Elephas maximus indicus: one gene and its partners. The main gene of each other region encodes a partner of the protein of the gene in region 3 in a complex. Links are inferred from orthologs where the notes say so. Each region holds a gene or a part of one and is shown on either strand. Other genes may lie near its edges.

The links.
Region 1: METTL14 (region 3) and RBM15B share a complex: the UniProt entries of both Homo sapiens proteins name them as parts of the WMM complex. The link is inferred for Elephas maximus indicus from reciprocal best matches to the Homo sapiens genes METTL14 and RBM15B.
Region 2: METTL14 (region 3) and RBM15 share a complex: the UniProt entries of both Homo sapiens proteins name them as parts of the WMM complex. The link is inferred for Elephas maximus indicus from reciprocal best matches to the Homo sapiens genes METTL14 and RBM15.
Region 4: METTL14 (region 3) and WTAP share a complex: the UniProt entries of both Homo sapiens proteins name them as parts of the WMM complex. The link is inferred for Elephas maximus indicus from reciprocal best matches to the Homo sapiens genes METTL14 and WTAP.

The regions. Positions count from the first base shown.
Region 1 is NC_064838.1:55,572,236-55,579,349, reverse strand, and holds the start of RBM15B (putative RNA-binding protein 15B), read right to left. Parts: upstream 3,020-7,114; 5' UTR 687-3,019; coding exon 1-686. Other genes in the region: MANF (mesencephalic astrocyte-derived neurotrophic factor), read right to left, coding at 3,355-3,539, 4,840-4,981, 5,771-5,898, 6,522-6,606. UniProt on the Homo sapiens protein: RNA-binding protein that acts as a key regulator of N6-methyladenosine (m6A) methylation of RNAs, thereby regulating different processes, such as alternative splicing of mRNAs and X chromosome inactivation mediated by Xist RNA.
Region 2 is NC_064821.1:170,959,533-170,967,162, reverse strand, and holds the start of RBM15 (RNA-binding protein 15), read left to right. Parts: upstream 1-4,612; 5' UTR 4,613-5,631; coding exon 5,632-7,630. UniProt on the Homo sapiens protein: RNA-binding protein that acts as a key regulator of N6-methyladenosine (m6A) methylation of RNAs, thereby regulating different processes, such as hematopoietic cell homeostasis, alternative splicing of mRNAs and X chromosome inactivation mediated by Xist RNA.
Region 3 is NC_064823.1:30,926,380-30,933,522, reverse strand, and holds the start of METTL14 (N6-adenosine-methyltransferase non-catalytic subunit), read left to right. Parts: upstream 1-4,138; 5' UTR 4,139-4,306; coding exon 4,307-4,372; intron 4,373-7,143. UniProt on the Homo sapiens protein: The METTL3-METTL14 heterodimer forms a N6-methyltransferase complex that methylates adenosine residues at the N(6) position of some mRNAs and regulates the circadian clock, differentiation of embryonic stem cells and cortical neurogenesis.
Region 4 is NC_064819.1:232,092,485-232,100,504, forward strand, and holds the start of WTAP (pre-mRNA-splicing regulator WTAP), read left to right. Parts: upstream 1-5,017; 5' UTR 5,018-5,048; intron 5,049-5,167; exon of another isoform or gene 5,168-5,267; intron 5,268-5,356; exon of another isoform or gene 5,357-8,020. UniProt on the Homo sapiens protein: Associated component of the WMM complex, a complex that mediates N6-methyladenosine (m6A) methylation of RNAs, a modification that plays a role in the efficiency of mRNA splicing and RNA processing.

The DNA of each region.
Region 1 (7,114 bases), on a different chromosome or scaffold from region 3:
CGCCGGCTGCTCCCACCGCCGCCGCCGCGAAGGTACACGGGCTCCACCTTGAGCGGGCGGTCGTAGAGCAGCAACTGGCGGGCCAGGGCGTGCTGGCGGGCCTCGCGGGCGTCCTGTGGGTGCCGGAAGTTCACGTAAGCCACACGGCCCAGCTCGGGCGTGTGCGACAGGCGCAGGCTGATCTCGCCGAAGCGCTTGAACTGATGGAAGAGCCGGTCCTCGAGGTGCTCGGCGGGCAGCGCGGGACTCAGGCTGCTGATGAGTAGCGTCTTGTACTCGGGCGCGGCCGCCGACGAGCCGGGGCCCGCAGGCTCCGCTCCAGGCGGTGGCGGAGGCGGTGGCAGCGGGGACGCGCGGGGTGACGCGCCCGAGGCTCCCGGGTCCCCGGAGGCCTTGCCGCCGCGCCCCCCGCCGCCGGCGCCCGAGCTGGAGGAGCGGCCGCTGCTCGCACGGTGATTCACGTCCCCCGCGCCGCGGCCGTCGCGATGTCCGCCCCCTCCGCCGCCGCTGCCGCGGGGCTTGTCGCGGGCCCGCGCCGGAACGGGGTGCTTGGCGCCGCCCGAGGCCTTGTGCGCCGCCCGCCGCCCGCCCGCCTCCGCTTCCCGCTCGCGCTCCCGCGGTCGCTTGGCCGACGATGACGAGCCGCGCCCGCTCGGGCTCGAGTCTCGCTCGCTCTGCCGCTTCATGGCGCTGGCGCTGCAGGCGGGCGGGCGGCCCGCAGCCCCTTCACAGCGGCGGCGGCGGAGGCTGAGGAGGAAGCGCCCCCGGCGCCGCCATCTTGGACAAAAGGACTCGCTGCGGCGGTGGCGGCGGGGCGGGGCGGGAGAGGCACCGAGGGGCTGGACGTTGCGTTATCAGGCCGCGCCGGCAGCGTCACGTGACCTCATGGCGGGCGGGGAGGAAGCCGCGCCGGGCGTGCGTCATCAGGCGACGTCGTCTGTACCACGTGACCCCCGCGGCCAGTGGGTAAGCGGGGTCCAGGAGCGCGCTCTGGCGCCACCACGCGGCCGAGACTGGGGCTACCTAGAGCGATCAGAGCCGTGGAGACAGTCGGGCTGACTCGCTCCGCCTTGAGTCCCAGAGAATCCGGCCGGACGTCGGCCTCACATGTCGCGCCGGGTCTGGTCTCCTGTCGCCGGCGCTGATTGGAGCATGAGTGGCAGCCTCCGTGGGTGCTGGATTCCGGGGCCTTGACCTAGCAGACTCTTTACGTGGTGGTCCCGAATTCCGGGACTAGGCTTGAAAAAAAGGCCGCCCCTAATCCCCGTCACGGTGACTTCTGCCCACCCAGGTGTCCAGGTTGACAGCCCGAGGGCTGACGCATACCCTTACCCAGAAGGAGCCCACAGCCTACATCCTGCGCACTCAGGTTCACCTGCAGCGCTTTCAGGAATGGTCATGTGGCCCATGGCTGTGGCTGCAGGAGGCAAGGCCGGTCTTGAGTTCAGGCATAGAAACCACAGACCCACAAACCTTCGTTTCACTGATCGAAATAAACTCTTTGGCGTCACTGGGCCCCACCCTTTGCTTTGGGCCTCCCGGCAGACAAAGAGCTAAAAAGGCAAGGCTACCCTGAGCCTAAAAACAGGAGCCTCGCCAAACCTGCAGGGAGTTCCAGCACTTGGCAGAGCCTTCTGTCCTGACTTCACCTGGCCCGTGCCCTCCTGTCCACCTTGTAGGGCAGAGCCTCTTTTCCTTCCCTTGTGCCCAAGCCCATTGGGAAAGCTTTCATTCTCCAGGAATTGTTGCTGGAGCTATCGCTGAACCTGACGCAGCCTCAGCCACAGAAACTGTGGTATGAGGAAACTTGCACTTCAGGCTTTCCCTCTTTCCCAACCAGAAAGCAGCCTCTGGAGTGGCTGATGGGGAAAGTAGGGGATGGGGGTAGGAGCAGGACACCTTTAGTGGTGCATAGTCTCTTAATACCTGCTTCCAAAAAGAGCGACACCAACATTCTCCACAAATAACCCTGGGGCCTGTGAGGCTCCGTTTTCTGTTCCCATATTCAGTGTGGCCTGGAGGACACGGAGGCTGCAGGCACACATCAGATCTGGGGTGGTGGCCTAAGACAAGTCCACCAGCTACAGCCACACTTTCCCAGCACCTCTGGGGGGCTGGGGACACTTACTGTGCTAGTCAGACCTCAACAGCCCATGTAATTCCCCCAAACAGGGGGATCTGGGCCCTGAGAAGTGCCTTAACTTTCCCTTCCTCTCACATGTGCCATTGCAGAGCTACAAAATGTGGGAGGTGTACTGCCAAGCAGTAAGAAGCACCCTTCAAGCAAACTGAACTTAGACACCAAAGACCTCATTTCTTGGAAAGCACTGCTTCTTATTCTCTCTTCAGGCATTCTCTACAGCAGCAGAGGTGCCTCCACTGAGCCAAGCTCATGCTGGCAGCTGGGTTTCCTAAGTGCCAACCCCACACAGACAGCAGCTAAAAAACCATACTCCAGGGGACACCATGAGGGCAAGTCCTCAGAATCTCAACTGTTAAACAAGGCAAAAGGCAGCTGCCCACTGCCTCTGTTCAAATCAATCTCCGCAGGTCTTGCAAAATCCCAGTTAGGCATCAGAGGCTTGGAACTGGCACCAGACCACAGACCCGGACAAGCACGTTCGTGGCCAGCCCAAGAGTACCTTTAGGAATGTCAGTACTGAATAGACGGCGTTCGAAGTCACCATCAGAGAAAACCAAACTCCAAGTACCCTCCAGCCTGCTCATACTGAACCCAATGCAAACCCCCTCCTATGTTCATCACACTCATTTCTCCCCTCCCCACTCCCGCACCCTCCCAGCAACAGCTGTGCAGCCTCCAGCCCCTCTCATTGGGTAAAACACTGGGAGGTGGGGTGCCAAGCCCAGCCTCCTCCCCAGGCTCCATTTAGCTGGGAGGGGGCCTGCTACCCTCCAGTCCTTCAAGACCCAACACATGTCAGCTGGCCTCAGCCCATGTCCTGCCTTGGTGCTTCCAACACTGGTTAGTGGTTGAGGAACAGGTGGGAATATATTAGAAAATTTTTGGCAAACTGGAAAGCATCTGCTGGCGAGGTCCTCATTATGGAGTGAAGCCCTACTTCAATATTCGCGTTAATTCTCCAAGAACTAGAAATTTTTTTCCTTTAATAAAAAAATCCCAGACACACTTTCAAGTCCTAGAGTAAACCAGCAACAGAATGAAGTGAATCCCCCCACAGGGGTGCTGTCGAGCCAGCATCATCAGGAAAGCTCCAGGCTTCATACCTGACATTGTCAGGAGCCCGATTAAAAAATAAATTACAAAAAGGCTGCTTGGGAAGAGACAGAGGAACTGTTTTTTTCTCCCCTCCAGTGCAGCAGGGGTCAGGCAGACTACAAATCAGTCCGTGAACTGGCTGCCTTGGGGGCGTATTTAGGCATTAGTTCGTTAATCTTCCGGATATAGTCGGACTTTTCTGCACAGCCTTTGCACGTCTCCCCCCAGTCGTCCAGGATCTTTTTCAGCTCTTTAACTCGGAGCTTCTTCAGGTCCGCTGTGCTCAGGTCGATCTGCTTGTCTGGAGGAGAGAGCAGGGAGAGTGACCGGCTGGTGAGAGTGGCCACTACCCCACAGTAGTCCCAGGTCAGGTCATTCCTGCAAGGCCAACCTATCCCTTAGAACATGCGGCCCTCCTGGTTTGTAGGGGGAGAGAGATTCCCAGACACATACAGGTGTGTCAGTGCCCACTGCCCCTGAGAGAAGAGGCTCAGGCCCCTTCATCAGGAAGGCTGGCCTCATGTCGCAGCGTCCACCAGACACGCAGTGTTGCCAGGGACAGGGATGGAGGCTACACGGTCCTTACAGGAGGAGCACGGCTCCCACCCCAAGTGCCTCTCACAGTCACAGGAGAGATCAAGTCTCTGCAGAATGGCAGTACCAAGCTATGATGGAGCAGGTAGCTCTCCTAGCCCTGATTTCCCAACATCAGTCTGGTTAGGCCCTTGAGGCAGGAGCTATTCTCCATGACTGCTGTGTCCACGACCCAGATGGACCTCTACCAGGATGACTCTCAGGACCAGGCATCCCTGACACAAGCAGGTAAACACAGACCCATGGACGTTCAAGTCATAATAAAATATGTTGGCGCCGTCACAGAAGAGGACAACTATCCTTGGCTCTGACTCTTTCATACTCAAACACAGGCCTGGCTATGTTTGTGCAACCAGACTGACTCAACAAGAGATGCTGTGGTTCCCCCACTCTTGGGCTTGCCATGCCTGTGTGGACAAGAACAATGGGTCTTCAGCTCATGTTCCTTCTCTGATCAAAAATCTCTAATGGTCCCTACTTCACTCAGACTTGAAGCCCAAATCCTTTCAGACCTGCTCACTCATCTGTCACCCCACTTTGATCCGCTAACTAGCCTCATGCTAATCCCACACCTCCTTCAGAGCTTTGCCGAAATGTCACCTCCTCACTGACATCCTGCTGTGATGAACAGATCACCTCCCTCCCCCAGCATTTAGCACCATCTATGTTTTTTTTTATGGTGGTACAAACGGTTAACACGCTCGGCTGCTAACTGAAAGGCTGAAGGTTTGAGTCTACCTAGAGGTGCACTGGAAGAAAGGCCTGGTGATCTACTTCTGAAAAACAAGCCACTGAAAACCCTAGAACGCAGTTCTACTCTGACACACATGAGATTGCCATGAGTCGGGTCAACTCGATGGCAGCTGGTTTACATGTTTACCATACCGTATAACCCACTCACCATGGCTCTAGTTTATGATGTGCCCCCTCAACTACAAAGTAACTCAACGAGACCTGGCTGCAGAAGCTGTGCAGTGTTTGTTAAATAAGGCCGGGAAAGCACTCACCATACTTCAGCTCGCAGATCTGGCTGTCTTTCTTCTTGAGCTTCTCACAGATCTTCTCCACAGGGATGTGGTGGGCTAGGGGCTTAGACACCTCATTGATGATCTTGGTGGCTGCATCATCCGTTGCCCCTATGTAGTAACACTGCAGCAAGAAAGGACAACAGCCTTCAGGAGATGTCACATGAGAGCCATCTCCTCCAGAACATTTTCCTTCTCTGCCAGGGCCTCATTTCCTGGTGCCTGCCTGCACTGGCACTCAGATGCAAGCCAGTATAAACTCCAGACTCTTAACACCTGTTTGGTCCCAGACCTGATGGCCACCGGATGAGCTTAAAAGTCACCAGGGTTCAAACTTTTTAACAGACAAACCACATGCTACCCAAAAATAAATAAGTAAATAAAGCTACAAAAGCCACTGCTTCACTAGGGGCCCTTGCTCTCAGTTTGGGCCTGGCTGACCCTGTTTACACCTCATTACCTTCTCCTTCCATCCTCACACATGGTAAGCCCATTCTGGCCTCTGGGCACTGGCAATGACTGTTCCCTCTGCCTGAGATGCTCTTCCCCAACTTCAATGATGAGCCTTCCTCAGAGAGCTACTTCTTGACCACTCTGTTTAAATCAGTACCACCCCCTCCACTGTACCACCTGGGTCCATTCTCTTCATGGCATCCAGCCCAGTCATTGTTTGTCTGTCCAACTGTCATCTCTCCCCCAGTAATCTCAGTGACCAGCACATAGTGGGTGCTCAGTAAATACTAAGAGGAGAAGATATCTCAACGGCAGAATACACTTCAGAAAGTGCTTGGGTTCTGTGTTCTGACAGACAGCTCTCCTAGCACACAGGTGGGTGGGGCCTTCTCAAGAGGCCTGTGAAGCCAAGGGTTAAACAGGGGCCAGGACCAGCTTGGGAGGGTCACCAGCTACTCACCAATCGGTTTTCTTTCCCTCTTGCTTCACGGCAGAAACTGATAAGTTCTTTTTCAATAGTGGCTGGTGAAAATGCAACATCTTTGTTTTTCAGATCCTGGTAAAATCTTCCCAGATAAGAAATGCAAACTGGAAAAAAAAAAGGGAAGGGAGATGCTCAGCAACCACCAAGGGCACCCCCATCCACCAACAAGTAACTGTCAGCAATTCTAATGGGAGGCACGGAGATGAATCACTAGAGGTTCGTGTTTCTATCACCGAGTTTTCTCAGGTGGACAGAGTCCGGCTCGAAGTTGCTGGGGTTCCCTGATCCACCTGGGGCATGTGGGGTACGATCACCATCCCAATGACCCACAAACGATCTATGACCTCATAAACGGACAGGCTGGAGGCCAAGAAGAAAAACGATCTTGATGCATCTTATTTCCAAATACAACACCGAACCCCGTAGTGCAGCTTCCTGACCCCAACTCACGGGGCCCCGACTCGGGAGTAGCCGCTCCCGAGAGCATCTGACCAGTGATGGGAAGGACAAGAACTCCAGCGTTATTGGAATTTCAAGCCAAGTTTTCAGGGCTATCTAGTCCCAACTTTTGGCCGTCGGACCAATCAATGTTCTGTAGGCCCGGGAGTGTCTGCCCCTCCTCGGGTGGACCTCGCAGGGATCGGCCGCCCCCGCCCCTTCAATGGTCTTGTTGGTGTCGGGGCCGCCGCTAGGCTGGACACGCCGCGCGGACTCGACCCCGCCGCACCTTCGCAGTCTCCGGGCCGCAGCGCCCCGCTGCCCGGCAGCACGCTCAGAGCCAGCGCCACCGCCAGCCCGTGCGTGGCCCACATCCTCCGCCTTCGTTGCCACCACTGCCGCCGCCGCTGCCCGACTAACCGCGCCCGCTGCGCTGCGCTGCGCTGCGCTGCACCGCCTCCAGGTCCCGGCCGCGCGCCGCGGCTCCCCATTGGTGGGTGGCCATCGCGCCCTCCCACACGCCGCGCTCCCATTGGCCCAAGGGCCTCGGAGCCCAGACGGTCGGCTCCACGCTACCCTTCCCCATTGGTTGGCAGCGCCGCCCGCCCTAGGCCCAAGACAGTTGTCCGCCGCTGATTGAACCAGGGTCTTCCGCAGGAAGCAGCGGCGGAGGCGGCGGAAGTGGGATGAGCCGCCATTTTGGACAGGGGCAGTGGCCTTACCGGCAACCGGGCGTTCCGGGCGGAAGTGGGATTTTGTGCCGCCCAGTGCATGCTGAATTGGGCTCTGCCCTGGGCTCTAACCTCGCCCTAAAAACTTCGGGAATTTCCTCGCCCAGGGCCCAGACTCACGGAAGGCTCAATAGGCTTCGTTCCTTTTTTT
Region 2 (7,630 bases), on a different chromosome or scaffold from region 3:
TACCATACGATCCAGCAATCCCAATCCATGGAATATACCCTAAATAAGAGCCTTTACATGACCAGATATATGCACACCCATATTTACTGCAGCACTGTTTACAATAGCAAAAAGATGGAAGCAACCAAGGTGCCCATCAACGGATGAATGGGTAAATAACTTATGGTATATTCACACAATGGACTACTACACATCGATAAAGAACAGTGGTGAATCTGTGAAACATTTCATAACGTGGAGGAACCTGGAAGGCATTATGCTAAGTGAAATTAGTCAGTTGCAAAAGGACAAATATTGTATAAGACCACTATTGTAAGTATTTGAGAAATAGTTCAAACTGAGAAGAAAACATTCTTTTGTGGTTACGAGAGGAGGGTGGGAGGGTGGGAGGGTGGGAGAGGGTATTCACTAATTAGTTGGTAGATAAGAACTACTTTAGGTGAAGTGAAAAACAATGCACAATACAGGGGGAGGTCAGCACAGCTGGACTAAACCAAAAGCAGTTTCCTGAATAAACTGAATGCTTCGAAGGCCAGTGTAGCAGGGGCAGGGGTTTGGGGACCATGATTTCAGGGGACATCTAAGTCAACTGGCATAGTAAAATCTATTAAGAAAACATTCTGCATCCCACTTTAGAGAGTGGCATCTGGGGTCTTATCTCTTAGCAAGCAGCCATCTAAGATGCATCAATTGGTCTCAACCCACCCGGATCAAAGGAGAATGAAGAACACCAAGCACACAAGGTAATTATGAGTCCAAGAGACAGAAAGGGCCACATGAACCAGAGACTACATCATCCTGAGACCAGAAGAGCTAGATGGTGCCTGGCTACAACCGATGACTGCTCTGACAGGAAACACAACAGAGAACCCTTGAGGGAGCAGGAGAGCAGTGGAATGCAGACCCCAAATTCTCATAATCCAGGCTTAATGGTCTAACTGAGACTGGAAGGACCCTGGTGCTCATGGCCCCCAGGCCTTCTGTTGGTCCAGGACAGGAACCATTCCCTAAGCCAACTCTTCAAACATGGATTGGACTGGACAATGGGTTGGAAAGGGATGCTGGTGAGGAGTGAGCTTCTTGAATCAGGTGGACACTTGAGACTATGTTGGCATCTCCTGCCTGGAGGGGAGATGAGAGGGTAGAGGGGGTCAGAAGTTGGCGAAATGGACATGAAAAGAAAGAGTGGAGGGAGAGAGCTGGCTGCCTTATTAGGGGGAGAGTAATTGGGAGTAAGTAGCAAGCCGTCTGTAAGTTTTTATGTGAGAGGCTGACTTAATTTGTAAACTTTCACTTCCCAGACCCAGTGCCATCGAGTGACCCTATAGGACAGAGTAGAACTTTCACTTAGAGCACAATAAAAATCATAAAAAAAAAAAAATACACAAAGAAGTGACTTGATAATGCAAACTGGGTTCTAAATGATTGTTTGCTGATTTAAGGATTTAATATATGCCTGTGGGTAAAAAAAATATACTTTCTTGTACACCAAATAAAATAAACCTCGCTGTCAGGAGACCACTCACTTTATGAAAGGAGATGAAACAGAAAAATTTAATCTACTATTGTGGGTGGAAAATTTTCTTTTTCAATTCCCAGATCCAGTCCTTTTTGTATTTGCCAGGAAATCAAAGGGCTCTCAGCTTCCAAGATAAATTTCATATAGCAATCATAATTGTGTGTGTATTGAAGATAAAAAATAAAAATAAAAAAAACTAGGAAGGAGGGGAATGGAAAGAAGGATAATTGATTGAAAGCATTCTGCTATTTTTTAACTGCACAGTAGTCTTCCATGTTTATGCCTTTTATTTTGCTTTTTCCTTTTAAAGCTGAAACTGATTTTAAAGGAGATGGAAAAAGTACTTCACATAGAAAGCTAATGGTAGCTGCTCTCCTGCCTGGCTGTGTTCTCTAGGCCTTGTACAGCTCCAAGGGGCCACCCTGACACCAAAATGGGCTGTGAGCTTTTCTTGAACATTATTTCTTGAGTTTTGGCAGGGCACTGAAAGGAGAGATCAACATGCTACTGTGGTGCTCTGGGAATTTTTTGGTAGTTTAACTCTGTCTTCATGACTACTGAAAGAACTTCCTCACCCAGGTTAGCTCTCCTCACAAACCTGGCCGCTGATCACAAGGAGACCAGATGAAAACTTGGACTGGACTTCAACAACTCCATCACCAACACCAGAAAAAGAGTTCCAAGCCTGGCGCTGAAACCATGGGTCGCTTTTATCCTTTCTCGGCCCTCCCTAAAGCACATGTATAAACACAGGTTGATAAAATGTCACCAAGCAGCTTCATGCTTTAAGGAACACAAGGGAAATGAAAACAAAGTAAATCACTCACTTTAACTACAGCACACATCCAACATATTCAGTTCTATCATGGACACGAACACACATCACAGACTATTTTGGCGCTGTTACTGGTAATGAAATTTAGACATTTTCTAACCATTAAATTTACCAGTCCTCTTGGCTTCAGGCAACGTATCAGTCCTCTTAGGCAAGGCTTCCTGCCCCTGCCAGCTCCTTCGTATTTCAAGCCACCAACTTGGCAGAGTGACAGGCATTGCCACATATCCTGGTACCTGTTCAGCAAGGCAGTATTCCTTGATTTCTCTCCCTCATTCCTGTAGAGGAAACTATACTGATTTGGTCCTTATCTTTTTCTTTGACCAGTGAGTCAACTAAGCAGGTCAGTTTTGACCAAAAGTAGTCACTCTGGAGCCTGGTTTCACTGGACTGGTTATTGCATTGAGTAATCAGATAATGGCTTGTTTCCTTTGTGTTGTATTAATACAACCTTGAAACAGATTAAAACCTCTTAACCATGTAAATCTTTTTCTTTGAGCATTTTGTGCTTTTATAAACACTGCTTTTTATTCTTTTAATCCACTAGCATTGAGATTTTTATCTCTAAATACCATTTTCCCCAAAAAGGAACCAGAACTCTTTGGAGAAATGGCTGATTCTATGTCTGGGGCAGGAAATACAGCGAGTAAGCCCGGAACAAAATAATGGGAGAGGAGGAAGCTGGGAAGAAGGCACAGAAGAAACAAGTGTGACGTGATTTGACAATTATTGAAATTGGGTGTTAAGTTCATGTGGTTCTTTATAGTATTCTACCTTTGCATATTTTTTACTTTTTCCATAAAAATAATTTTTTAAGGGAAAGCTAGAAAGAATTGCTATTTTTTAAACTGAAAGAGCATGAAAAATAATAGATAAGAGTCTACAATGAAAAGGGAAATTTCTCTCCCATCCCAGACCTGCAGTCAGTCTCTCTCCTCAGGGGAATCCTGGTAATATTCCGTGTATTTGTCAAGGAATTTTCTATGAATGAATGTGCAATGTGCGTGCGTTTTTAAACCATAAATGGTAGCATACTATACAGTTTTATACCTTATGAAATTTTTAGTAGCTAGTTTTAATATGAAGATATCTACACACTATTTTACTGGGTATTTTTATGCTTTACATATCCACTTAAACATGGGCTTCAAGTCTCTTTGATATAATCAAGACATTAAATCAAATATTTATAACACACATATAATATTAAAAATATAATCTTCACTTTCCTCAAGATTATTTGGAAAGAGGAGACCTAAGGTAGAGCAAAATATGCTGCAGTCCCTAATCTTAAATTTTCAGCTTCAGGTTTTGATTTTCGTAACATCATAGTTACCTTAAAAATGTCATGTTTAAACAGATTGATTGGATCTTGAGATGTGGCTGAAGAGGGCATCTACACTGGAATCCTCATAACCTCTGCCTGGCGGAGACCTGGGAGGACTACAGAAAGCCTAACCTCTGTGAACTCAGCACTACCTCGCTTCACCAGACGGTGAGCGCAGGAACAGAGGCTGTACCTGTTGTAATCTTGTTGGCACACCAGCATCTTGCACAGGTGCCTTATTGTCTGACACAATTTAAGTCCACTGCCATCGAGTGGATGCTGACTCATAGTGACCCTATAGAACAGAGAGTTCCCAAAGCTGTAAGCTTTACAGAAGCAGATAGCCCTATCTTTCTCCCAGGAGCGGAGGCTGGGTTCCAACCGCCGACCTTTCGGTTATCAGCCCAGCGCTTAACCATCGTGCTGCGAGGGCTCCTCTGACACAATAAAGGTCTATGGAAAGGATAAAAGTTGACTTTTGATGCAGACAATGTTTGAGAGAGGCAGAGAGATTTAGAGAACCAGCAAGGTGGCTGTGCTACTGGATTATAATATCGAATAACCAGGAGTGCCGGGCGGTACGAGAAGTCACAGAAAAAAAAACACGGTGCGTCAATTTCACTCGATTATTTTACGGGGAGAGTCACATAAAAACAAACATAATCTGCACGGAGCGTCAATTTCACTCGATGGTTTTACGGGGAGAGTCATAAAAACAAGATTAGCTATACACGCACTATAGAGTACAAAATCCACATGGGTTTGCAATATAAAACAGGAAGCCTAAAGACACGTCTGCGGTGGCCCCACAGTTCCGGCCACGCCTGCGGACCGTGGGCCTGGGAGCGTCGGTCACTTCCCCCGGTTACCCGGGGTACTTGGGCAGACACGAGGAGCGCCAAGAAGAGCCCGGCGTTGCTCCATAAGTGCGGGACCTCGAGAACCCGCGCCGATCAGAAGACCGTCCGGGGCCGACCCGGCACTTTTGTGAACTGTAAACTCCCGGGCCGGGCGGGCCCCGGGGACCCCAGTGACCGCGGGCGGCGCCTTCTCGCGCACAGGGGGGAGGAGCCTTTTCAGGCTCTTCACGTAGGGCCAGAGGGACTTAAGATGGTGCCTGCCGGGCGCCTCGAGATGGTTTCCTGAGGCACGCGTGGTACCCGACAGCCGGAGGGCCTGCCCAGTCCCTCGTCTGGCACAGGTAGGACAGTGGGGAGCCCAGAAGTTTCGAGTTCCAAGGGCCGCAGTGCCGCCAAGTACGCCTCGGCACCGAACAGATGTTTGAGGGGAGAACGCCGAAAGCACGAGGAGGCGGGGCGGGCTCGTGGTCACCATCTCGCGATATCTAAGTGACGTCTCCCAGCAAGCGCGGGTTCTAGGCTTTCACCTTCAGTCAGCCGCCTCAGTATATGGGCCTACCCCTTTAAGAGGGTGACGGACAGTTATTTCAGCCTATCAACTTCCTCGACAACATCCAATCAGATTTAAACTTCTGTCAGCCGCCGAAGGAGTTGGAAGAAGAGGGTCGAAACAGGGAGCTCTCTCGCGAGATCGTTGTGAGCCTACCTCTCAGAGGAAAAATCGCCCGAACCGATGGCCGTATTCCCAACTAGTGGGTTAAAGGACAGGATCATAAACCAATGAAAGGGATGAGGAGGTGGGATCGCTGCTTTCGCCGCTCAAGAAGTACCGTTACAAGGCAGACTTTTTGTCCAATCAACGCCGCCAGACTTTGGGTCAGGTGACCGTAGGGTGCGAGGGGCGGAGCTACAGCCTGGCGCGAGGAACCGTTAAGATAGACAAGGAATACAACCAATGAGGTACTCTGACTAGGGCGTTGGGAGCCCAATAACAGTGGTTGGGCGGGCGCCTTCCCGGAGCGCCGGGAGATGTAAAGACAGACAAATAGTCTTTCCAATGAGACTGTAGAAGAGAGGATCTAATTGACCAATGAAGACTGCGGGGCGGGAGCCTTTGCCGCGGCGGAGTCCAAGATGGCGGCGTGCGGTTCCGCTGTGTGAAACGAGCGCGGGGCGGCGGGTTAATCAGCTCCGCGGAGAAGACCTCCGACGACCCGCAACAATGAAGGGAAAAGAGCGCTCGCCAGTCAAGGCCAAACGCTCCCGTGGTGGTGAGGACTCGACTTCCCGTGGGGAGCGCGGCAAGAAGTTAGGTGGCTCTGGTGGTAGCAATGGGAGCAGCAGCGGAAAGACCGAGAGCGGCGGTGGGTCGCGGCGGAGCCTTCACCTGGACAAGTCCAGCAGTCGAGGTGGCAGCCGCGAGTATGACACTGGTGGGGGCACCTCCAGTAGCCGCCTGCATAGTTATAGCTCCCCAAGCACCAAAAATTCCTCGGGCGGGGGCGAGTCGCGAAGCAGCTCCCGGGGTGGAGGCGGGGAGTCACGTTCCTCAGGGGCCGCCTCCTCAGCTCCTGGCGGCGGAGACGGCGGGGAATACAAGACACTAAAGATAAGCGAGTTGGGGTCCCAGCTGAGTGACGAAGCGGTGGAGGACGGACTGTTTCACGAATTCAAACGCTTCGGTGATGTGAGTGTCAAAATCAGTCACCTCTCGGGTTCTGGCAGCGGGGATGAGCGGGTAGCCTTTGTGAACTTCCGGCGGCCGGAGGACGCGCGGGCGGCCAAGCATGCCAGAGGCCGCCTTGTGCTCTATGACCGGCCTCTGAAGATAGAGGCTGTGTATGTGAGCCGGCGCCGCAGCCGCTCCCCTTTAGACAAAGATTCTTATCCTCCATCGGCCAGCGTGGTCGGGTCCTCTGTAGGTGGTCACCGGCACCCCCCTGGAGGAGGTGGAGGCCAAAGGTCACTTTCTCCTGGTGGCGCTGCCTTGGGATACAGAGACTACCGGTTGCAGCAGTTGGCTCTTGGCCGTCTGCCCCCTCCACCTCCGCCACCGTTGCCCCGAGAGTTGGAGAGAGACCGAGATTATCCGTTCTATGAGCGAGTGCGCCCAGCATATAGTCTTGAGCCAAGGGTGGGAGCTGGAACCGGGGCTGCCCCTTTCAGAGAAGTGGATGAGATTTCACCTGAGGATGATCAGCGAGCTAACCGGACGCTTTTCTTGGGCAACCTAGACATCACTGTGACAGAGAGTGACTTAAGAAGGGCTTTTGATCGCTTTGGAGTCATCACAGAAGTAGACATCAAACGCCCTTCTCGTGGTCAAACCAGTACCTATGGTTTTCTCAAATTTGAGAATCTGGACATGTCTCACAGAGCCAAACTAGCAATGTCTGGCAAAATTATAATTCGGAATCCTATCAAAATTGGTTATGGTAAAGCTACACCCACTACCCGCCTCTGGGTAGGTGGCCTGGGACCTTGGGTGCCTCTTGCTGCCCTGGCACGAGAGTTTGACCGATTTGGCACCATACGCACCATAGACTACCGCAAAGGGGACAGCTGGGCATATATCCAGTATGAAAGCCTAGATGCAGCTCATGCTGCTTGGACTCATATGCGGGGCTTCCCCCTTGGTGGCCCAGATCGTCGCCTTAGAGTAGACTTTGCAGACACAGAGCATCGTTACCAGCAGCAGTATCTGCAGCCCCTGCCTCTGACTCATTATGAATTGGTGACAGATGCTTTTGGACATCGGGCGCCTGACCCTTTGAGGGGTGCTCGGGATAGGACACCACCCTTACTATACAGAGATCGTGATAGGGACCTTTATCCAGACCCTGATTGGGTCCCACCTCCACCCCCAGTCCGAGAACGCAGCACACGGACTGCAGCTGCTGCTGTACCTGCTTATGAGCCACTGGATAGCCTGGATCGGAGGCGGGATGGCTGGTCCTTGGATCGAGACAGAGGTGAGAGAGATCTTCCCAGCAGCAGAGAGCAGCCTAGGAAGCGAAGGCTGCCTGAAGAGAGTGGGGGACGCCATCTGGATAGGTCCCCTGAGAGTGACCGTCCACGAAAACGTCACT
Region 3 (7,143 bases):
TGTAATAGTACACATTTACATCTTTATCAGCCCAGGGTCCAGTCAGGAAAACAGAAGTCATTTAAAGTATTTGAAACAGACAACATTTACTATGGAGAATTGGTTACACAGGTGTTGAAGGCTAGACAGTTCCTGGGTGGTACAAATGGTTAATGGACTCACTGCTAACTGAAAGGTTGGTGGTTCAAGTCCATCCAGAGGCTTTAGAAGAAAGGCATTGCAATCTACTTCTGAAAAAACAGCCATACTAATCCCTGTGGAGCACAGCTCTCCTCTAACACACATGAGGTTGTCCTGAGTCAGAATCATTCCACTGCAACTGGTTTGGTTTGTTTTTGAAGGCTAAAAAAACAAAAAGGGGAAGGTGAGATTAAACCATACATTTTTGACTGCAAGAAGTGGCTACTAGTGCTAAAACTGGTGAAACAGAGGGAAGGGGTGATATTATCAGAGCCCAAGAGCACACTCACTACTGGGGGTATAAAAAACCCCAAAACAAAACCAAAGGTTACCATTGAGTTGATTCAGGAAAGACAGGACAGCCAAGGAGGAGAAGTAGCAACTGGTTCTGCAACTCTGTAAGAAGTGACAGCCACTTCCAGGGATGCCAGAAGCAGGAAAAGAAGTGAAGAACAATAGCTTCTCCCCACCTTCCATCTTCTTATCTCCATCTGTGCTTCCTCTTGGCAGAATTTTATTGGAAGTCATCTGACAAAGAAGTCTGAAAAATGTAGTTTGTAGATTCCTAGCCCACCATCATCAGAAAGCAGAATTTGACTTACTTGGTCTTCAGTCTTTGACTCTAATACCTATCAAAGTACCTGCCATGTAAAATGTCAATAAACATCAAATAAGTATTTTAGTGAAAATTCCTATTCCCATCATTGATAAATAGCTGAAATCAGTACCCAACTTAAATGACTGGCATGCAAAGTAGTACAATGGAATTTTAAAGAAACATACTTTAAGTCATAGATACAAATTTAAAAAAAAATCCAAACCCACCACCGCTGAGGGGATTCCTACTCATTATGACCCTATAGGACAGAGCAGAACTGTTCCATACAGTTTCCAAGGTTGTAAATTTTTACCAAAGCAGACTGCCGCATCTTTCTCTTGCAGAGCAGTGAGTGCTTAACCACTGCACCACCAGGGCTCCTACACACATATTATCTTTTATAGAATAGTTCCCATTACTCAAGGAATTTTTAGAGCTCCGCTTTTGAAATTTCCTTTTAAAGCTAATTTTTTAAAAAACACATGAAATGCGTGATAAATTACTAGAATCTAATATTGCCCACTTTGGGCCTAGCCTGACTCACCTGGTTTTGATCTGGAAGATTTATCATTATTTGAAAAAACTAAATCCACTCTCAAAGAATAAACTTTGTTATTTATTTTGGCAAGTACTTGCCACAAGTTCCAATTAAACTTGAGGCAACAGGATGCCTAAACCACCTTGGCCACTTGAGTTTGGAACAAAATGACAAACGTGGTGAATAACAATGTTAAAGTTTTTAGTAAGACTTTGGTCTTTGCTGCCTTCCTAAGAGAGAAGAATCACCTCCCCTCCCCACCAGGGTATTTATTTCCATATCCCAGGGTTATTTTCTGCTAAGATAAATGCAAGGCAGAAAAAGGGGTCTTATCTAGGACACAAACCAAGGCACACTGTACAATCGCCAACCCCTCTTTTCTAAAGGGAAGAATCCATAAAGTGCATTATGGTAACAACAGGCAATATCTCAAGAGCTAGTGAAACTTGCCCTCGAACGTCGAGCAGCTAAAGCAAAAGGAAGAATTGATGAAGTAAAAGAATGAACAGAAGATTTCAAAGGGCGGCTCGAGAAGACAAAGTGTTATACTGACATGTGCAAAGAGCTGGAGATGGAAAACCAAAAGGGAAGAACACGCTCGGCGTTTCTCAAGTTGAAAGAACTGAAATAAAAATTCAAGCCTCGAGTTGCAATAGTGAAGGATTCTGTGGGGAAAATATTAAACAACGCAGGGAGCATCAACAGAAGATGGAAGGAATACACAGAGTCATTATACCAAAAAGAATTAGTCGATGTTCAACCATTTCAAGAGGTGGTATATGATCAGGAACCGAAGGTACTGAAGGAAGAAGTCCAAGCTGCTCTGAAGGCATTGGCAAAAAACAAGGCTCCAGGAATTGAAGGAATATCAATTGAGATGTTTCAACAAATAGATGCAGTGCTGGAGGTGCTCACTCGTCTATGCCAAGAAATATGGAAGACAGCTTCCTGGCCAACTGACTGGAAGAGATCCAAATTTATGCCTATTCCCAAGAAAGGTGATCCAACCGAATGTGGAAATTATAGAACAATATCATTAATATCCCATGCAAGCAAAATTTTGATAAAGATCATTCAAAAATGGCTACAGCAGTATATCGACAGGAAACTGCCAGAAATTCAGGCCGGTTTCAGAACAGGATGTGGAACCAGGGATATCATTGCTGATGTCAGATGGATCCTGGCTGAAAGCAGAGAATACCAGAAGATGTTTACCTGTGTTTTCTTGACTATGCAAAGGCATTAGACTGTGTGGATCATAACAAACTATGGATAACATTGCAAAGAATGGGAATTCCAGAACACTTAATTGTGCTCATGAGGAACCTTTACATAGATCAAGAGGCTGTTGTTTGTACAGAAGAAGGGGATACTGATTGGTTTACAGTCAGGAAAGGTGTGCATCAGGGTTGTATTCTTTCACCATACCTATTCAATCTGTATGCTGAGCAAATAATCCGAGAAGTCGGACTATATGAAGAACAGGGCATCAGGATAGGAGAAAGACTCATTAACAACCTGCGTTATGCAGCGGACACAACCTTGCTTGCTGAAAGTGAAGAGGACTTGAAGCACTTACTAATGAAGATCAAAGACCACAGCCTTCAGTTTGGATTGCACGTCAACATGAAGAAAACAAAAACCCTCACAACTGGAACAATGAACAACATCATAATAAACAGAGAAAAGACTGAAGTTGTCAAGGATTTCATTTTACTTGGATCCACAATCAACAGGCATGGAAGCAGCAGTCAAGGAATCAAAAGACGCATTGCATTGGGCAAATCTGCTGCAAAGGACCTCTTTAAACTGTTGAAAAGCAAAGATGTCACCTTGAAGACTAAGGTGCACCTGACCCAAGCCATGGTATTTTCAATCGCATCATATGCATGTGAAAGCTGTACAATGAATAAAGAAGACCGAAGAAGAATTCACACCTTCGAATTGTGGTGTTGGCGAAGAATATTGAATATACCGTGGACTCCCAAAAGAATGAACAAATCTGTCTTGGAAGAAGTGTGGCCAGAATGCTCCTCAGAGGCAAGGAGGGCGAGACTGCCTCTTACATACTTCGGACATGTTGTCAGGAGGGATCAGTCCCTGGAGAAGCACATCATGCTTCGCAGAGTACAGGGTCAGCGGAAAAGGGGAAGACCCTCAACGAGGTGGATTGACACAGTGGCTGCAACAATGAGCTCGAGCATAACAACAATTGTCAGGATGGCACAGGACTGGGCAGTGTTTCGTTCCGTTGCGCATAAGGTCGCTATGAGTCGGAACCGACTCGACGGCACCTAACAACAGTGAGGTGTGCAGAGCACTGACAGAAGGGAAAAGTAAAAAACAACAACCTTAATAATAATAAACACTTCTATAGCGCTCTGCGCCTCCTTACTATTTATACAAACTGTTCATTATTTCAGTCTTCACAACGACTCCATGAGGCTGGCACTCTTATTTACTCCCATTTTACAAACGAAAAAAACAGATTTACGGAGGTGACTAACCAGCCAAGGTCACCCAGCTAGTAATAGGAAAAGGTTCAAGGCAATATGGCCGGAGTCTGCTCTCTCAGTAAAAAAGCAGATACTACATGTAACAAGTTTTAAAAGTAACTGGGGAACTAACGGAAAAGAGAAGCAACAAAAGAGCTCACATCGGAAGAGGCGTGGATATATCAAGAGAGACACCAGAGACGGGACCTGACATCGCTGCTCACAGCGCCTATCAGGCTTCCGAGACCCCTCCCCCAGTGCCCCGTCCCTCATTGGGCCCCTTCCAAGTAGCGTCAAATTGTAGGCGGGACTTCCGGGTACAACGGAGCCAATTCCGGCCGAGCCGGAAAGCCCTTTGAAGAAAAGGCTAGGGGTTACCCGCCCGCCTGAAGTCCCTGGCGAATTTTGTGTTCCATAGACTTGGAAGAAAGATTGGGCGGGGGTTAATCTACGCATTGGCAAGTTTTCAGGGTAGTGGAAAACAGGAGTTGGGATATGGACAGCCGCTTGCAGGAGATCCGGGAGCGGCAGAAGCTACGGCGACAGCTCCTCGCGCAGCAGGTCCGCGCCCGGGGTGGCCAATGCGGGGAGGGTTCGCGAATGCGCGTGCGCGGCCGCCCTCTCCCCCTCCCCTGCCCTTCGTCCTGTCAGCGCTCACCTTGTCCGATCATTCCTGATCCGGAGACCCTGACCCTTGGATCTCCCCTTGTTCTCTCAACCCCTGCTGTGCCCCGAATTTTTTTCCCATTCCAGCCGCTGTGTGTGTAGTAATGTTAAACTAGACGCCACGATTGATCTTCAGCAACATCTATCGAATGCCTTCCAAGCTTCTGGCACTGTGCTTGATAGTGGGGATATAAAGCTTTGGTTTTTGTAAATAAGTTATCACAGTTGATGCAATGAAAAGTGACTTATTCCTTAAATATCGCTTTGCTAATTTTTTTTAAGTGCTCTTCTTTGTCTTGTTTTTTTCTCGGAATCAACACCTAAATCCTGAGATTGTGGCTTCATTGTGAAATGGGTGTATTTTGGGACGGGGGTATCTACTTTAAAGACTACATTGAAAGGAGCCTAAGTGTAAACATTAGATTCTACATTTTGTGTATTGCAGGCCACTGAGCAACGTATACTAGCGTCATCATCACCCATAAAAAAATAGTATTTAAATTTTTACTCTCTGTCAGTCAAAACAGCCCAATGAAATAGGTAGTATTATTCTCTTCACTTATCAGAGAACAGAACAGAGGCTCCAGAGGTCAAGTAATTTTGCCCCGACTCACTCATAGCTGGGCCAAGAATTTGAAACCAGGTTTGTCTCTCCAAAGCTTACCTTCTAAACCACTCTCCTTCACTGCTTCTTGTGTGTGAGTACATTAGTACATAAGACCATACTAATCTTGCTGATGAGTAGAGTATACCAAAAACCAAACCTTTTGCTATCGAGTCGATTACGACTCATAATGACCCTGCAGAAAATACAGATGGTGCTACCTTTATGTAAAATCAGAGGGTTTGTTTTCCATTCTGCTGTTCAGATTAGTAAAAGTGATGGGTAAAATGAGGTGTCTTGCTGTTATTTTTCAATAGTAAATTTTGGTTTTAGCTACAAGAAGTCTGAAACCTGTCTTTTAAAAGCTGATGAAAAGACATATGATATGGTATTTAACATGTTATTTGGAATCAGATCTAGTCCTGTCCTGTACCATCCTGAACAAATGAGGCATCCTTTCTAAGCCTTCTTTTTCCCTACTTTTTTAATCATAATTGTCTGCAAAATGTTCAGTAGATCTTTGTTGCCACCAGTAGTTTTTACTCCTCAGTTTTGAATTCAAATCTCTAGAAGATTTGGCTCAAAATACATTCATAGAACAATTTGTTAGTGCTTTAACTATGTTCCAGGAGCTCTAGTAGGCCTTCGCAATTCAACTATGAATAATAGTCCCTACCCACAAAGAACTTACATAGTACTACAGTTTTATAATGGCAGCTGTATTAAATCCCCTCCAGCTATGTGTCAGACTCTCTGCTAAGCTGTGTACTTATATGTCTTCAATCCTACAAGTCAGATGTTATCTGAATTTTATAGATGAAGAAAATAGAGCCCCCCCCCCCCAAAAAAAATTGTTACTTGCCCAAGGCCCCAAAGCTGGTAAATGTGAGAGCTGGGATTTTAATTTAGGCCTTGCCAGGCTCTTTCCAGTACACCTAGCTGCCTCCACTATAATCAGTGACAAACTTCCACTTTACCAACAAATTGCAGAGCGTCTTTTGCCTAGTTTTCTCTGTATGAACAAGATAGATTGCTTTTATTATTCTCCAGAACTTGATTTGTGCACTATATGCTTTTTTATGCTTTAGTATTATTATTTTTAAAGTCTTTTTCTTACCTGCCTTCTGAATTCTATCCATCCTCCATGGCCCAGTTAGGTTAGAATTTGGTGTTGGAACCTATTCTGATCTCCCTGGCTTAGGCTCTTCTTCCTTTGAGCTTTCATTGTACCTCACTGTCGAGTCCACTACTACATATTGTGTGAATTGTCCTGTTTTTGTTGTTAGTTGTCATTGAGTTGATTCCGACTCATGGTGACTTCATGTATGCAGAGTAGAACTCCATAGGGTTTTCAAGGTTGTGACCTTTTGGAAGCAGATCGCCAAGCCTGTCTTATGAGGTGCCTCTAGGTGGGTTCTAAACACCAACCTTTTGGTTAGTAGTCGAGCACTTAACCGTTTGCACTTGTGGATTGTCACATAGACTATAATAGTTTGAGTACAAAGTCTGTATGTAACTCCTGTTGAGTAACCTCTTCCCACCCAGGATTGTTTCTTTCACAAAGCAAGATTTTAATAAACATTTGTTGAGTGATGAAATATCAGACTAGAGCACAACATGTGTATGATTTGCTTGATTCACTTTTGTCTGCTTAGTGAAGCCTTTAGAGGCAAAAAGTAGGCCTGGACCATGATAATAACAACTGATGCTACCACCACCAATTTGTGCCTTTTGTTTATTTAACTTCAAACAGCATACGTGGTCCTGAGAAGTAACTCTGTTTCCAAAAATTAAATATGCCTTAGGAAGTTATCAAATTGTTAGAATTCCTCAGATAAATCTATTCAGTGCCACCAACATAATGGAAAATCTGTTATTGACTTGGTTAAGTGATACAGCTGCTAACCAAAAGGTTGGCAGTTCACATCCACCAGGCGCTCCTTGGAAACCCTATGGGGCAGTTCTGCTCTGTCCTGTAGGGTTGCTATGGGTCGAATTCAACTCAACGGCAGTGGGATTTTTTTTATTAACTTGATGTGGGCACTCTACAATTTTTTTTTTT
Region 4 (8,020 bases), on a different chromosome or scaffold from region 3:
GCTGACCTTTCAGTTAGCAGCCGAGCACTTAACAACTGCACCACCAGGGCTCCTGTCCTACTATTGTTGCTGTGTGCTGTCTAGCCAATTCCTACTCACAGTGACACTATAGGACGGAGAAAAACTGCCCCATAGGGTTTCCTAGGCTGAAATCTTTTTTTTTTTTTTTTACTTGTACTTTAGATAACAGAACAAGCTAGCTTCTCATTAAATAATTAGTACACATATCGTTTTGTGACATTAGTTACCAACCCCACGACATGTCAACACTCTCCTCTTCTCGACCTTGGGTCCCCTATTACCAGCTTTCCTGTCCCCTCCTGCCTTCTAGTCCTTGCCCCGGGGCTGGTGTGCCCCTTTAGTCTTGTTTTGTTTTATGGGCCTGCCTAATCTTTGGCTGAAGGGTGAACCTCAGAAGTGACTTCATTACTGAGCTTAAAGAGTGCCCGTGGGCCCTACTCTCGGGGTTTCTCCAGTCTCTCTCAGACCAGTTAAGTCTGGTCTTTTTTTTGAGTTAGAATTTTGTTCTACATTTTTCTCCAGCACTGTCCAAGACCCTCTACGGTGACCCCTGTCAGAGCAGTCAGTGGTGGTAGCCGGGCACCATTAGGTCGTGCTGGGCTCAGTCTGGTGGAGGCTGTGGTAGTTGTGGTCCATTAATCCTTTGGACAAATCTTTCCCTGTGTCTTTGGTTTTCTTCATTCTCCCTTGCTCCGAGACCAGTGGAGTATCTTAGCCGGCCACTCGCAAGTTTTTAAGACCCCAGACGCTCCTCACCAAAGTAGAATGTAGAACATTTTCCTTGTAAATTATGCTATGCCAATTGAGCATTGTTCCCCGAGACCACGGTCCCCACAACCTCAGCCCAGTCATTCGGTCCCTCAGGGAGTTTGGATCTATCTATGGAGCTTCCATGACCTTTAGGCTGAAATCTTTATGGGAGTATTTTGCCAGGTCTTTTCTCCTGCGGAGTAGCTGGTGGGTTTGAACTGCAGACATTTTGGTTAGCAGCTGAGTGCTTAACTCAGGACTTTCAACCGGTTCGTTCTGGTTCACCTCCCTCCTGGGAATTTGCATTTCTAACAAGTTTCCAGGCAGTGGCAGTGCTGCTGGTTAGGGACCAATTCTGAGCACCATACATGAGAATTTATCATACATGAGAATCACCTGGGGACCCTGTTAAACTAGATTGTGATTCAGTCTGTCTGGGGTGGAAATGCAAATTCTGAGCAGGGGTTCAAATCTGAAGGAAGCTGTTCAAAGCCCTGGCTTAACCATTGCACCACCAGAGTTCCTTCCTCCTATCACCCAGTGCCCAGTGCCCTCGACTTACACTAAATTTTATCACATGGTTCCGGTGATGGCCACTAGATGGCTCCACTATACAAGTGTACTTTCCTCTTTATAGTCAAAGGAGTAACCTGTGGGGCAATACTTGGGCGCAACTTGGATATTCTATTTCCCAGCCATTTTTCACCAAAATTTTGATCCATTGGTAATCCTTGCCTAAATCAAATATTTCATTGAGGGCTGCATAATGGTTATTTTCTAATTATATCATTTGTTCTACATTTATTAGCTGGCATCCTATTGTAAAGGGTTTTTTTTCTCATCCACTGGGGATGAACCTAGAGCTTTGAGCCAGTTCCTTCTGGTTCGAACTCCTGCTGAGAACTGCATTTTTAACAAGTTCCCAGATGATGCTAATACTACTGGTTAGAGACAAAAAAAAAAAAAAAACCCATTGCCGTTGAGTTGATTCCGACTCATAGCAACCCTACAGAACAGAGTAGAACTGCTCCATAGTTTCCAAGGAACGCCTAGTGGATTTGAACTGTTGAACCTTTTGGTTAGCAGCCGTAGTTCTTAACCACTACACAACCAGACTTTCCACTAGTAGAACAGTGACTCCCAAATTTTATCATATATAAGAATCACCTGGGGAGCTTGTTAAAGTGTAGATTGTGATTCAGCATATCTGGGGTGGCAAAGGAATTTGCAGCAGGTGTTCAAACCGGTTGAACTAGTTCAAAGCACTGCATGAACCACAGATCTCCAGGTGTTTTAGTTACCTAGTGCTGCTAAAAAATTCCGACTCATGGTGACCCTGTACTGCTGCTACAACAGAAATGTCACAAGTGGATGCCTTTAACAAACAAATTAATTTTCTCACAGTTTAGAAGGGTAGAAGTCTGAATTCAGAATGCTGGCTTTAGGGAGGCTTTCTCTCTCTGCCGGTGCTGGAGGAAGGTCCTGGTCTCTTCTGAGCTTCTGTTCCTAGGCAATCTTCATGTGGCTTGGCATCTCTCTCCCCCCATCTCTGCTGCTCACTTGCTTAATTTCTTTTATATCGCAAACGAGATTGACTCAAGGCACACCTGCCTGAAACAGTCTCAGTTTTAGCATGGAAAGTCCAGCCTCACAGGAAAATCTTTAGTCCTGGGCAAACAGGGACAGCTGGTCACCTGAGTACTTCTAGCCTCTTTCAGTGTACAGAACTAGAAATTTTATTTTTTTAATCATGTGTTCAAATTGATATTTCCAATTTAACATTACGGGACTTTTCTGAACTTTTGACATTGTATCTTTTTTTTCTTGTACTGAAAAAAACCCACCGCCCTGGAGTCAATTTGGACTCATAGTGACCCTATAGGACAGAGTAGAACTGTCCCATAGAGTTTCCAAGGAATGCCTGGCAGATTTAAAGTGCTGAGCTCTTGGTTAGCAGCCATAGTACTTAACCACTACACCACCAGGGTTTCCTCTTGTACTCAAAGTCTTTTTATATAACATTTTATGTTATCACACAACACACAGTTTCAAAGGCACAGTAACAAAATTACAACTACAAACCACTGAGTGAAGCTGAAGATTCCCTTTGCTGTTCTTTTTCACTCTTAGAATATATCCCAGCAAAGACATACTGTGGGAATGCTATGGTCAAAAGTCCTGGGGGGGGGGGGAATCCTTTTCTCTTTGTAACAGTTACCACCAATTTGAAGTTAGGTTCATTTGTTTCAACTAGCTTTCAATTTGGGGGTTTACTTTGTTTCCTGTTTTACTTTTTAACTATGTAAAAATGTTAGAAGTTCAAAGTCAAGAGATGTCTTGCCTCTATCTCTAATCCCTTTACTTCCTACCTCCCCCACCCTCTATAGATAACTTTTTGTTAGTTTCTAGGGTCTCTTTTCAATTTTTTTTTCCTGCAAAATAAAAATGTGTATGTGTGTGTACAAATGCCAGCCAGTTTCCTATTAATGGACACTCAGGTTATTTCCAAACTTTAGCTATGATAAATAGCACTGCGGTGAATGAAACCTAAACCAAACCTGTTGCCTGGGAGTGGATTTAGACTCATGGTGACCTGACACGTTACTGAGCAGAACTGCTCCATAGCATTTTCTTGCCTGTAATCTTAACGAAAATAGATTGCTAAGCCTTTCTTCTGCAGTACTGTTTGGTGGGTCTGAACCACTAACCTTCAGTAGTCCAGCACCAACAATTTGTTGTTTTTATTGGCGGAGATGTATCTTCAAAATAGTCCCTGGGTGTTGTAAAAGGTTAATGCACTCAGCTGCTAATAGAAAGGTTGGAAGTTTATGCCCACCCAGAGGCTCCTGGGGAAAAGGGTGTGGCGATTTAGTTCCGAAAAATCAGCCACTGAGAAAGAACCCTGTGGACCACAGTTCTACTCTGACACACATGGGGTCACCCTGAGTCACAGTGGAGACCACGGCAACTGGACTGGGATCTTCAGGATAACTTTAGGGTTAGAAGTGGAATTGCAATAAGGATAAATGTACATGTACTTCTGGTACTCCACAAAACATGAATCATTTTCCATTCCCAGTTTCTCCACAGACTTGTAACTTTAAGGCATGTGACTTCATGTGCATTTTTATACATGAGGCTGAGCATCCTTTCATGTTTAAAGACCATGGCTGTTCTTTTTCTATGAACTGCCTGTTCATGTCTTTACCCGTTTTTCATTCAGGACTTTGGTCTTTTTCTTTTGTTTTTAAGAGTTCCTGTAATGTAGTTTGAAAATATACTCTCCAGTCTGATCTGATCTGCTGGGAATATACCATGACTCCTTTAACTATCTAGGGTGTACTTTAAACTTAGCCTCATAAGACACTTCATTCCAGGACACCTTCTTCGGGGATCAAGAGTTTTGGTAGAGCCAGCTATGAGCACACCAATCAAAAGAACTGCCTGACCAGTCTTGTGTTTGACTATTTCAAATCTTCCAGGTAACCACCGTTCTAACTAAATAGGCCAGACGCTTAAGGAATATATTTACATTACAATACTTATTTCCTCGGATGCACTAAAACCTCACAGGGCTCGCCTTGCCCTCGTTTCTGAGCTAGCAAGCTGCCCCCAAAGCTGCTGACACCCGCAACAACCTCCGTCGGCTACAGAACAATAGCTCCTCGGCCTCTCCCCCAGGGATGTCAAGGCGGGGACGAACCAAACGGCCACGCGGCTGCATTACACGATGAGAGAAGGGCATCGGTCTCTTACGGCCTCAAAACAGAGCGTGAAGTTTAGCGGTGCCGATTTCCCTGCCGGCGCTCACACAGCTGTCCGCCGGTAGCCTCCCTCCTGAGCCCACACCTGGCCGCTAGCTCGCGGAAGCGTCCCCAAGCGGCGCTGACACCCAAGCCGCGCTGACACCCAAGCGGCCAATCACCGCGCCGCCGGCGCCAGATCCCTCCGCGGAGCTACGCCGCACCCGCAGGTGGCAGCGGTGAGCGCGTCCGCCGCCGCCGCCGCGACCCCCGCCGCCCTTCCCGTGATGCTCCGCGGCTGACCCCCAGCCCCCGCCGCGCCGGCTCCCTCCCCTCCCCGCCCGGACTCCGGCGGCCGCGGGACACCTGATAGAGCCGGACGGGCCGCGAGGGAGAGCTCTGCCGTCGGCGCCTCCAGGCCCAGACTCCGCCGGGGCCGCCGCTCCTCGCCCTTCCTCCCGCCGGCGGGGCGGCGCGGCGCGGCGGGCGGGCGGGCGGGCGGACGGTGCAGCGGCGCCCGGGAGGCAACCTGTGGTGAGCGGCGCGGGCGAACATGGCGGCGCGCGGCCGATGGGGCGGGGCGGGGCGGGCGGCGGGGGCGGGGGCCGGCCGCGCTTCCTCCCTCAGCGCCATTTTGTGGCAGCGAGACCCGCAAATAAAGGGGCGCGCGGGCTGCGGCGGCGGAGGAGCGGCGGGGCCCGGCCGCCGCGGTGCGAGCGCGGCCTCGGCCTGGGCGACGGGCCGCCTGCGGAGGTAGGTGCGGCCGCGGGCGCTGCCGCCGAGCCCGAGGTCGGGGCGCCGGCCTCTCCGCCGCCCGGCTGGGGAGCGGCGCGCAGGCCGGGCAGCTCGGGGCCCGGCCGCTGGACGCCGGCCTCCCTTGGCGCTGCCCACTTGGCGCCCCGAGGCCATTTCCCCGTCCTCGCCGGGGCCCGGGCGCGCGGTCGGCACGGAGCCGGGGCCGCCCTGGTCGGACCTCCCGCCTCCCTCGGCCATTTGTGCCGGGGGAGAACCAGCCTTGGCTCTTGCAGCGCGCATCACGCAGTAGGTCGTGGCTGCAGGGACAAGGTCCGGGAGGGTTCCATTTTTAATGATTGGCATGCATGCTGGGTAAGGAAACAGTTCTTTATTGAATTATTTCGAGATTTTAAGTCTCACCTTGGATTCCCGGAAGAATGTTACTAAAGGATCTTTTTACCATTTTTTATGAGTCAGTGGGGAACATATAGCAGAAAAGCTTAAGTTCTTGTTTTGGTGATAAAGGAAGTTAATTGGATGTTTGATCCCAAAGGAATTATGTTACAATCCGAATTTACCGTGATTATAAAATTAAAAAACGATTATTTCGCCCGAGGTAGAAAAATATTTTGACTAGCATGTTATAATCTCGAGATGTTTTAATACCTGTTTTATTGTTTTCCGTGCTTTAGAATTTAGTTAATTGCATTGCTGAGGAAGCCACTGGTCTATCACCCCCATTAAACTAGGTGCGAAAGTCTTTTTAGGATTGCTAAATTTCATTTATTTAATCGTGTTATTCACTAACATCTGATTAGGCAAGTTGGGGATAGAGATTGCAGCCCACAGCATGGCTTGCCGACAAAGTCGATGCTGAAATTTAAGGTTTGGGTAGGTGTGTTTCTAGAATGCTTTTGGATCTTGCCTTATCTTGAGCTGAAAGCTTAATGATTGGGATTTGCACACACACCTCAGTGGGGGGAGGGGAGCTTGAGTCCTTAAGGACGAAAGTACTAATGCTAGTGTGTCCCAGGCACTGCCGATTTTTACCTGGCTCATCTAATATTTTTTCATCTAATTTATAGAAATCCGTGGTATCTAGCTTTCCTAATTTTGAGTCATGTTTGCTCAAAATACTTCGGTGTTGTGTTGGTCAAAAATGAGTTGGTGTATATGTAGAAAACCTATGGTAATCTGATACTGAGATGAGTTGTAATAATTACATTTTTATAGCACATTACAGCTTTCAAAGTCCCTTACAGTCTTGCATGTATGTAGTATAGCATTTGTTTCAGAATATTGTTTACTTAGTAATCTTCACAATTTTTATAAGACCAAACCCAAACCCATTGCCATCAGGTCGATTTTGACTTGTCCAACTATGTATATTATTATCTTGGAGTCCTGGTGTCACAGTGGTTAAGAACTCAGCTGCTAACCAAAAGGTCGGCAGTTTGAATCCATCAGCCGCTCTTTGGAAACCCTGTGGGGCTGTTGTGCTCCACGCTGTAGGGGCGCTATGAGTGGAAATTGACGTGACAGCAGCAGGCTTGTTTTTGGTTTTTTATGGACCACCTTAAATTTTGTTTGTGGATTCTTTAGCAGAACAAAACCTACCTTTCTTAAATGGACGTTAAAGTTGCCTTTTATGTTTTTATTAGTATTTTTTTTTTTAGAAAAATCCCTTGTTTGCGTAGCATTTTTATGGCATTGCAAGTGTTGAGATTTGTAGCACTTTGTGTGGTAGGTAATATTTGTATCTTCGTTTTAGCTGATGTGGAAACCGTAGCCCAGAGAGGTAAGTGATTTGCTCCAGATCACATGGCTGATAGATACAAGAGTTAGTAAAAGATATCTTCCAGTTCCCAAGTGGTGTCCTTTCTACTACAGTGCCAAGCTCCTGCAGGACATTGGCTTTTTCTGTTCAGTTGTGATAAACTTCAGCCATCTACAGACTTCTTATTGAAGTTGCCTTGGCTGGTCTGCCTTTCTGTTGAGAGAGAAGAGCCAGGGAACTTTTGAGATCTGGGATGCGAGGCAGCCAGCCAACCAAAGCTGGACTCCCATCCTAAGCTGTTTCTTAGTGTTGAGGCATCAGGAGTAGATGGTGGTTCTGACATTCTACACTTGAGGTATATTATATCTGACTAAAATAACAAGCCTTTATGTAATTTTAAAACCATGTTTTAACGAATTATCTTCAGTTGCTCAAAGGTAGGTAAATTGGCTAGCTTTGATTTTTTTTCTGTTTTGCTTTTCTTTACCTCCATTTTCTCTACTTCAGCTAGCTAAATCTAATCATTATTGGGGATAGGCAGAGTGGGAGAGTTATCATCTTCATCGGTTACTTATTTTTTATCGTGGTAAACATATAGGTAACAAAACATTTGCCACTTCAACAGTCTTGGCATGTGCAGTTCAGCGACGTTAAATATGTCCGTTATGTTGTTCAGCCACCGCCATTAACCGCTCCATCAGTTACTAGGTCTTAAGAGGCAGAGTCCTAACCGCCGATTTATTAATGAATAGCTGTTTTAACCTGAGATAATCACCTAATAACTCAATCATTTTATCATCTGGAAAATGGAGGGTAACATTGATTTTGAAAAATTGTAATTGAGACTCATAAGCACTTCATTTTTCATTTCTATATTCTTCATTTTTTCCCTTCAAGATTGAACTCCAGATACCTGTTAGATTAATTTTATTTCATTTCAGTTATTCCATTTTTGTGATCTGAATTCTTTGTTAAAAAGTAAAGCTAGACACCT